Linked DNA regions of Schizosaccharomyces pombe. The gene in region 2 interacts genetically with the main gene of each other region. Each region holds a gene or a part of one and is shown on either strand. Other genes may lie near its edges.

Evidence for each region.
Region 1: of cpp1 (region 2) and cwp1, extra expression of one rescues a mutant of the other (dosage rescue), as found in Schizosaccharomyces pombe (one study listed by BioGRID).

The regions. Positions count from the first base shown.
Region 1 is NC_003424.3:1,864,014-1,867,656, forward strand, and holds cwp1 (geranylgeranyltransferase type 1 alpha subunit Cwp1), read right to left. Parts: upstream 1,759-3,643; 5' UTR 1,596-1,758; coding exon 919-1,595; intron 868-918; coding exon 660-867; 3' UTR 538-659; downstream 1-537. Other genes in the region: protein dpc13, read left to right, coding at 1-347, 402-444; SPOM_SPAPB1A10.05 (uncharacterized protein), read left to right, coding at 3,122-3,643. UniProt on the Schizosaccharomyces pombe protein: Catalyzes the transfer of a farnesyl or geranyl-geranyl moiety from farnesyl or geranyl-geranyl diphosphate to a cysteine at the fourth position from the C-terminus of several proteins having the C-terminal sequence Cys-aliphatic-aliphatic-X.
Region 2 is NC_003424.3:3,592,461-3,598,430, forward strand, and holds cpp1 (protein farnesyltransferase beta subunit Cpp1), read right to left. Parts: upstream 3,947-5,970; 5' UTR 3,886-3,946; coding exon 2,737-3,885; 3' UTR 2,503-2,736; coding exon of another isoform or gene 595-2,502; 3' UTR 534-594; downstream 1-533. Other genes in the region: SPOM_SPAC17G6.03 (phosphoprotein phosphatase), read left to right, coding at 595-2,502; bro1 (vacuolar protein-sorting protein), read right to left, coding at 4,012-5,970. UniProt on the Schizosaccharomyces pombe protein: Catalyzes the transfer of a farnesyl moiety from farnesyl diphosphate to a cysteine at the fourth position from the C-terminus of several proteins. The beta(cpp1) subunit is responsible for peptide-binding.

The DNA of each region.
Region 1 (3,643 bases), 1.7 Mb from region 2:
CCTCTTACATACAACAATGCTCTTCTGTATAGGAATAGGTTTCCTAGTATATTAACATGGAAGAGAAGTGCGACTACGCAACCTGACGACACTATTTTCAAGGATCCAGTAATGGATGAGCAAGTCCAGAAACTTGAAGAGAAAATGAGTTCATTAGTTGTTAATGATCCGGAACTTGCTCAAAAGGTTGGCCGTCTTCGTCAGTTTTTTGAGAAATACGGCCTTGAAGCTGGTTCAAAACCGTCACCTCTTACTATCCTAAAGATTACTCGTGATCCGGAATTCAAGCAGTTAGCTGAAACTATCACGGAGATATTTAAAAAATCTGGAATTCAAAATGATCCTGCGTATGTTTTTTTGAATGTATTCCATTGATTGTGCGAACACTAACATATCTATAGATTTTTGGAACTTGTTCGAAGAAACCTTAAGAAAGAAAAGTAAAAATATGCCTCTGACATTTTTTTTATTCTTTGTTTGGCCTAATAACCATTACTTGTTCACTATTATGTGAAACTTACAATTGGAGGAATGACTAATGTTATTGATTTCATAAACGATTCACTATACATCACAACTACTTTCTTAATTAGTAGGAATTTTAAACAAGATGCTTTATCAAAATATCAGTAAACCCAATTAGCATTCAAAGCATAGATTTAAGGATTGCTCCTTTGGGACATCCATGTCCATAAAGCGGCATGCGGTACGTCAACCTCATTTGCTAGTTTTTGATAAATCTCTTCAGACGACGAAGGCTCGTACATAGCTAAAAACTCTAAGAGTGGCTTGTGTAAAGCAGGCAAATTTTTTCGGAGATTAGCTATGAGATTATCAAGTTTTGAAGGTCCTGATTTGTCAAGTACACTGTAAAAAAGTTAATGAAGAATGTAATTAATGGAAATGAGAGATACTTACCCACACAAATAATTCCAAGCACTCTGATTGTCAGGAGCAAAAAGGATTTTGTCTTTCAGATAATTCAGTTCCTCTTCCAAAGACCAAGAAACCACCTTGGAGGTTTCAAACAAAACATAAAATCTATGATTCCAAGCCGAATTGTTATAAATGTCTTTTTCCAATAATTCGTTGGTTAACTTCAGCTCTTGAGAATAATCATTAAAATTTTGCAAGATCCAAACTCGGTAGGACCAGACATGATAATTTTTACTGTCAATTTCAAACATCTTTTTCGTAAACTCAAGTTCACGCTCATAATTCTTAGTCAAAGAAAGTATTTTTTGCCTATGATGCCAAACCTGGTAGTTTTTTTGAAAATCTTCGGCAATTTCATCGAGCCATTCTAATTCATTGTCTATGTAACTGGGCGTGTGGTTTAGGATTTGAAATCTATAAGCCCATACTGTATAATGAGCTGGATTATTCATAATCAAGAAACCTGTTAAATTAAGTGCTCTCAAGGAGTACTCCTTTTTAGCCATAATGGCACGAAAATAAGCCATTCCTTGTTCATATCCTGTCGTGTAGCAAATTTTCGCTAATGGGTTTTCGCCATCATCCTGAGGAATGGGTGTTAATGGTCCATATTCTGTAAAATCCAAAATTTCATTTAACTCGGGATCAATGGGATCCATTTCATTAATTTGGCATCCGTTGTACAATTCTCAACTCAAAGAAACAAATACTTAAAGGCCGAAAATTTAATTATAAGTGTTTTATTAAAAAGGATTGTCAGGTTTTTCTAAATTATCAACTCGAAAAACAATGAGTCTCTTTGTTTAGTGCGTACTATTGTTCAGGTGTGATGGTGGGTTAACTAAGGAGAGTAAGTAGATGAATAGTGAGTTAGGATTACCATGTTTACAATATGTGATTTATTTCAAACTTTTATCATAGTCTTTTATTAATTTTATTGTAGGCAACGGAGTATATTCATAAAACTTCAAACGTACAGGTTATATGAGTATCACCGACCAATTCGTGGTATTTCAGTATTGCCTATTAATTAAACCGGTGTTATATTTTCAGTTTGAGCACAATAAAAAAAACATCAAGTACATCAAGTAATTGCAAAACCCATCTAATTTTAAGTAGAGTATGAAATGTTGTGAGTTTATAATAATACCTAATTCATGTCCTGTCCGGATAGATGCGCTTTGGTCGTACAAAACGAATGACTAGTGATTACAAATTGCCTATGAGAAATCTGTATCTTCAGCATCCTAGCGATTAAAACTGATGAGGATTAAAGAGATTCATGCAAATTATTTGAACACCTATATAAAGCATTGAAGGCTTCTGGTGAACAACACGATATAGAAAAATATATTGATATGCGTTTCAATGATTATTTTAGTTTAAAACGAGAACCTAATCACCAGAGTCATGAAATGTCATTTGTTAGTATCTCCAAAAAAATATATAGCAATGCCGAAGCAAATTATTTCTTTATAATCTCCTGATCTACTCAATTTTTAATTTCTTAAGTTGAAATCTGACATTCCGATTATTTACATATACTTACAATGAAATGTTGCAACAATAATAGCATTTAAAGCATTTTAATATTTTTTAATTGATCCAAACCTTCCATTAATATTCAGTAAATTAAATTAACATCTTAAAAAGGGTTCGAAGCTGCTTTGAAAAGTCATGTCAAATTTATATTACTACTTACTTTTCCCTTACAGAATATATGACCAACCAGAATTTGCGCTAATAAAAATTTAATTAAAAGTAATTAAAACGTGTCTTCTAAGAAAGCAATGACTTCTAAATGTTTTCGACTTTGCTGGATTTTTCTAGATGGTTAATTATGCTTGACTTCATGCACTAGACGAAATTTAGATTTAGCTCATAATGTGCAACCTTCACCAACATAGATGACTGAAATTTTATTGAATTGAAAAACTCAAAAATTAACTGATCTTTATTTGTCGGTGTTTTTTAATTCAATTTTGAGAACGGGTTTGTGGGTTTGTACTTACCGAAATAATTTAGAACTAAAGGAAGTTACTACGGCAGTCTGTATTACCTCTAGGTTTTAGACTAAAACATCATAACAGATTTATTTAGATTTTTTTCTCATTTCAAACATTATTTATTACTTTTTGTTGTCTTTACATTATTTTGTTTTTAATTTACTACTCGCATTTCGCCCATGAAGCGTCAAAGACCACAAGACTCTATGATATCTGTCCCGTTGCAAAATGAAAACAGTACGACCACTCCAACTAAAGAAGTTAGTCATTTAAACTTTCCTTTGAAACGACCGCGATTGCATTCTTTTGTCCCAACTTCCAAACAAGCCGCTTTATCAGACATAACTCCAGACACGCCTCCTGCCTTCAAAACTCCTTACAGTAGTTTGCCTTACAATTTGGTTCCCCAGAATTCTAGTACTAGCAAAAAAAGACCAAGGGCAGAAGACCTGTTGGTTATTGAGCCGTCTCAAAATAGCCTTGTTCCTAGTACACAAAATAATGAGTGGAACGAAATTGCTCGAAAGAGAGTATCTTTAGAGTCCGATCATCCTGACAAATCGGGTCAAGTTATTGACCTTGCAACAGGGCAAATACTCGACAAGCAAACAGAAGATATCGATGATGATCGAAACAAGAGTGCCGTATCAAAATCCCTCGTTAGACATCCTCATCGCTTGAAGATGCTTCCTTTTGGTATT
Region 2 (5,970 bases):
TTTCCTTTTCAAATTTTTTTGCATTACTATAAAACCAATTTTTCTTGCTTAATCATTTTCTTGAGCAACAATGACAATATTTTGTTTTTGCACTCTTCTCTGGTGAATAAAGACAATATACGTTTTTCGGAAGGAATACTTCTGGTTAAAAGCGTTTTTCTCTGTGATAAGGTTATAAATATTACTTACAATATTGCATAATATTATCTATTATCGTTCGTCAAACCAATTCCCCACACATTGTCAATTTACAATTCTTCTTTTCTTTTACTAAATACTTATGCCCAACCGGAAGTTAAAGGCATAACATAAGTGTAGTGTTTCACTAAAGCTTTTTAATCATTTGACGATCTCAAAATCTTGCATTTGCGTGCTCGTTTTGCAGACGTCGCAATTTTCATTTAGAAATTTTTGATTAAAAAAAATAGGCGACTACGAATTCTTTTTTAAAACTCCCATGACTTTTGATGGAAGCAATGATTGTCATATTACGAAGGTTTGGCTGGCTACTATTTGCTGCTTGTGACTTGGTACTTGATCTTCTTATCTTGGCGATTCTGCACTTACCCTATATACTGGGAACCAATATTTATTATGAAACCTGCCCATACATTTTCATTAATTTTCTCTCTTTTATTTGTTATCAATCCTTGCTATTCAGCAACTTTGCCCTTGGCAATTCGTCGGGAATTGACATGGGGTCAAGTCAATATTTTACACACTACTGACATCCATGGCTGGTTAGCAGGACATGCGCGAGATAAACGTTATTCAGGAGATTTAGGAGATTTCGCTTCTTTTGTTCAACATATGAAGCACTTGGCAAAACAAAAAGACGTTGATTTACTGCTAGTAGATACCGGCGATCTTCATGATGGTACGGGCCTGTCAGATCTGACAGATCCCCCTGGTAGTTGGACAGATTCATTACTTGCAAATATGGATTATGATATTCTTGTTGCTGGAAATCATGAGCTTTATCTCTCAACTGTTGCAAATGATACTTATCATAATTTCATTCCTCTGTGGGAAGGCCGATATTTAGCTGCAAACATTGACATATATGATGAACATGTTTCTTCTTTTGTACCCTTTGGAGATCGATATGCCATCTTTTCTACACCCCACAATGTTAAAATCCTTGCGTTTGGATTTGTAAACTCATTTTCTGGTGCTACTGATACGGTTCGTGTCCTCCCAGTTTCGCAATTCTCGCTACAGCCATGGTGGAACGATATGGTATCAAATAAAGACATCGATCTGATTCTGATTCCCGCTCATGTACCCGTTCACAATGCCTCAGAGCTTGATATCGTTCTTTCAGAGCTTCGGATTCACTTCCCTACCACTCCAATACAAGTACTTGGTGGTCATTCCCATATTAGAGATTATGCCATTTACGATGAAAAAGCAGTGGGAATTGAGTCAGGAAGATATTGCGAAACAGTTGGTTGGGTCTCAATTAACGGCATTCCATCCTTCAAATCGTTGGTCAAGTTATCTGGGATTTCTTCTTTAATGGGGGTGGAATCTTATCTAGCTGAGCGCTTGAGATTTATAGGCGAAAGTATTAGACGGTCATCTCAGCAGATATTTTCCTCTTTGCAAAGTGCTAAATCTGCCAGTGTCAGCTTCTCTCGTTCCTATATTGATTGGAATCCCGAGGGCTTTATGTTTCATTCGAAAACAAAAAAGTCTTCTTTCAATACCTCACTTGGAGAATTTATTTCTAATGGCATTTACGAAGCTCGGAAGGCACTTGGCTTACTTACTCCTATAGGTTGTTCCCCAAAAAAGTTTGCATTTTCAGAAGTTCCATTTAACGATTCAAACTCAATTTATCATCTATTTCAATCCGAACTTTTTCCAAAAATAGTCGTCAATGAGTCTCGACATCACATTCCTCACTATATTATTGTAAATTCGGGTGGCATTCGAGGTGGTCTAAATTCAGGTGCCTTTGGCTTAGACGAGGTCTTTCAAGTCTGTCCTTTTAAAAGTAATATATTCTATGTTTTGAAAGATGTCCCATGGTCGATTACTAAGTACCTGCCACAAGCTCTACAACACAGTGGATATCTGATTGCTGAAGATACTCTTCAAATTAACACTCCACAAGTTTCTGATGCAAAATTTGAGGACTTTTATGAACACTCCATTCGCAAGACATATGGATACACTACACACGATGATTTAGGAGATGACGGAGATGACACTGCTCATCTTACAACTCCTCATTATGAACCGCTGCGGTTTATTTGCTCGCAAGTTGGATTTGATGATTCTTTTTCTGGAGACGATAAGCAAGTTGTTGACGTTGTTGCTCCATCATTTGTTATTCCACGCTTAGACGACATTTTAAATAAAATTGCAGATAAGCCTTTATATTCACCTGACGATTGGGAGCTTTACTTTACGAGACCTGACGGAAAGCATTCTATGACTGATTTGTTACCATTATATGCAGATCTCTATTGGGACCACGATTGCCTATATAAGTAAAAGGCTATGGTTTATTTCCTTTAGTAAGGATTATTCTAATGACATTAATGATTTTAAAGATAACAAATAAGTCAAGAATTATTATTTATTCAACATGTGTAAAAATGACGAAGTAAATACCTGATAGAGAAGTAAAATAGGCATGATATTAAACTCGGGACATAAACCGTTAAAATAATAAAAAAAATCCTCTCATGAAAAATTAAAGTCCATAGACAACTCATAAATAAACCATTAGAATTTTGATGATTCTTGTGACAGAAAATATGATTTAATTCTTTCTTCAAAACCAAAAGGAACACAGTAAATTGGATGAGCCGGTAATAAAGAGCTTAAAGAGGAGTGTAAGATGGAAGGTTTATAGGACCAACCATCAGAAGTGTGATATCTGTAGTCATAAGCAATTGATGATAACCCTAATAGACAATAACAAGTATGATATTGATCAGGCCGTTTTGGTGGTTTGTCACGTAAACCGCCGCTTGTACTCTGGCAACATTGAAGAATATATCCTAATAATTTTTCTGGATTATAAAAAAGGTTAGGCAGGCTTTTATGAGAAGCCGAACCATAGCCTGAAGCCACAATCACATGGCTAGCACCGACCCACCAACTATAACAACCATCCACTAGCTTGTTAGAGCGACCGGAAAATCCGTAAAGAGCAGGATCTTGACGTTGTACAAGCCAAGTGCTAAGTTTTATTTCATTTAAATTGTCAAGACCTCCCAGCAAAGCAATTGCGGCAAGGGCACAAAATGTATATCCGCCATGAGCCTCGGCGTAAGGGACACCTGAAAGACCTCCCTCATAAGTTTGGCACTTGCAAAGCCATTGCAAGGTACCCTCAAACAGAGGATCGTCCATACTGATTCCCACTAAAGAAGAAACACATACAGCTGCATAAACGGATCGAGCATCCGACTCTCCCTCATTATTAACTCGAAACGAACCATCCGGATTTTTTAAAGAGAATAACCAATCGTACAAACGATCGCGCTCTATCAAGGAATATGCGTCGGTGGAGTCACAAAGACATATACTGAGTATAGAAGCATAAGTACTCAATAAATGTTCATCTTGTCCATTCCCACCACAAAAACCACCACTAGGCCCTTTCAACTGTCGCACACTGCTAATAGCCCGTTCACAAACAGAGCTGTCAAGTTTGCCTAAAATTGCCAATGAACTTAGTTCCCAATAAACCATCCAAGCCCTTGATGCATCCAATACTGTAAAGGGAGAAGGAAGAGGATCTAGCATTTTGGTTAAATACTTAAGATGCTTTTGCAAATTGAACGATTGACTCTCGCCGTTCAGCAATGGAAGAACAGCTGTAGCCGTTTCGTTTTGCATAACTTGCGTTTCTGATAATTCATCCATCTTTACTAACTTTAACGAAAGAGTCCGCTCACCAAAAAGCTTTATTAATTATAAAGTTGTTGGACTGGTTTACTTAAACACTAGAAGACAAAGAACCTAAAGTAACAGCCAAATTGTTACTTGGCGCTAGATGTGAAGGTTTCGCATATTAGAGGAAATACTTGTATGAGAGGAGCTCGAAGATGAAAGTTTTGAAAGACATGTGGCACCCTGTTTCCTTCTTAAAAGTAATTGCTCTCCTAGGGTCTTATTAATTTCGGCAAGTCTCTGTTCAACAGTTTTATAATATTCAAGGCCCTTAGATACACCTTCCGATATAGCTTTAGCCGTAAGAGAAGAAGAAAGCAAATTAGAACATAACTCTTTATTTTTAGAAAATTGGTTATTGTATACTTCCATCTTTCTCAAAAATTCCGGATTTTGTTTCAACTTTTGTGTAACATTTCTCATCTCATTCAATAGTAGTTGCTGTTGCCGATAAGATGCATGTAATCTATTTCGCAAGGGGTCAAACTTCTTTAATTCTAGTTCAAAAAGCTGATTGGTATCGAGTGCAGAGTCCTTCCGCTTACTATTTTGCATGAGAGACTCAGAAATATCATCTTGCAAACACTTTTGCTGTAAAGCCTGTAAAGTGGTCTGCCTTTCAGGAACTAACTTTTGAACTCTGGATTGCAATTCTTCTAACAAGTCAAGCTGTATTTTCATATCGCGCTCTTGCTCCTCCTGCTCAATAGGAATATCAAGTAAGCTTTGACCAGAATTATCAGTTGAGGAAATGGACGATTCTAGTAATGCGCTAATTTTGGAAGAGTTACACAACGTTTCTACATCATCTTTTACTAAAGCATATTGTTGGGATATAGCGGAATCAGTAGCGGAAGCCTCTGCCAAGGTCTTCAAGTAATTGTTGAGTTCACTTTGATAAGGAGCGGCAAACTCTAAGCTATCTGATAACGTCCACGAGGGTCCAAGTTTCGCCTTCATCTTGGCATTTTCATTGGCTTCCACTTCTAAGTCACTCTTAATTTTCGCTATAATTTGCTTCAACTTTGTGGATTTTGCAAACAACTCGTGAATTTTAAAAGTAGGATTAAAAGAAATAAGTTGGGAACGAGCTTCTATAAGTTCTTTCGGAATAAAGTTCGTTTTGGAATCCGAATGTGTGATTTCTTGAAGCCGGCTAAGGTCTAAGGAGGCGAAAACCGTTGCCATTTGGGTGTTTTGTCGTTCTACTTCAGCTTGTTCAGCGCGAAACACTTTGGCAGTCTCCTCTGAATACAGCGAACTGGCGGTCGTAACGGCGCTAGGCACAAAGGCCTTGAACAAATCATCTCCAACAATTTTTTTTGCAGTTTCAAATCCATCTTGACTTCCATACAATTTCTCTAAAGGAAGTGGTGGTAGAGCTTGCAAAGGAGATATTTTTGGGAGCTCAACTTCCTTGACTACAAGATCATGAAACACAAAGTCATTATCTTTCTCAGCAGTTTTTAACAAATGAGACAAGGAGGATTTGATGAAGGTAGAAATGGTCTGAGGATAGTCAGAAAGACTAGGCTTATGAATAAAATCAGTACTCAACTTTATACCATTGAATAACTTTTGAGCAGACGAAAGAATTGACTTAGCTTGTTGTAAATATCCAATAGCAAGCCCTTGTTTCGATTTTTCCAACTGAGCGCGTGCCATAAAATAAGAGGAAAATCCCTCAAGGGCGGCCTTTTTGGCAGAAGCAAGCCGTATGAAATTGGGATTGCACGCCGGTTCCATAGATTCAAATGCGTGTACACAGCTATCATATAAAGTAGCTGCCGAACTAGCAATCTTTGCAGCCAACGAATAGTTCATGTTAGAGTCACTAGCTGAAAAAGACATATGTCCCAAGACACACTCCTGTGCTTGACCCAAGAAAAGATTGTAAATACCTAGTAAAAAATTGGAATCTAAATCTCTTCCAGGTGCATGAATGAAAGATTCGCGTAAGAGTTTGGCAATACCGCTAGCGCATTGTAAACAATTGGCGGCCGCCTTATAATCATCCACAGTGTAAGCAGATGCATGATTAGCAGCCATTCGGGAAAG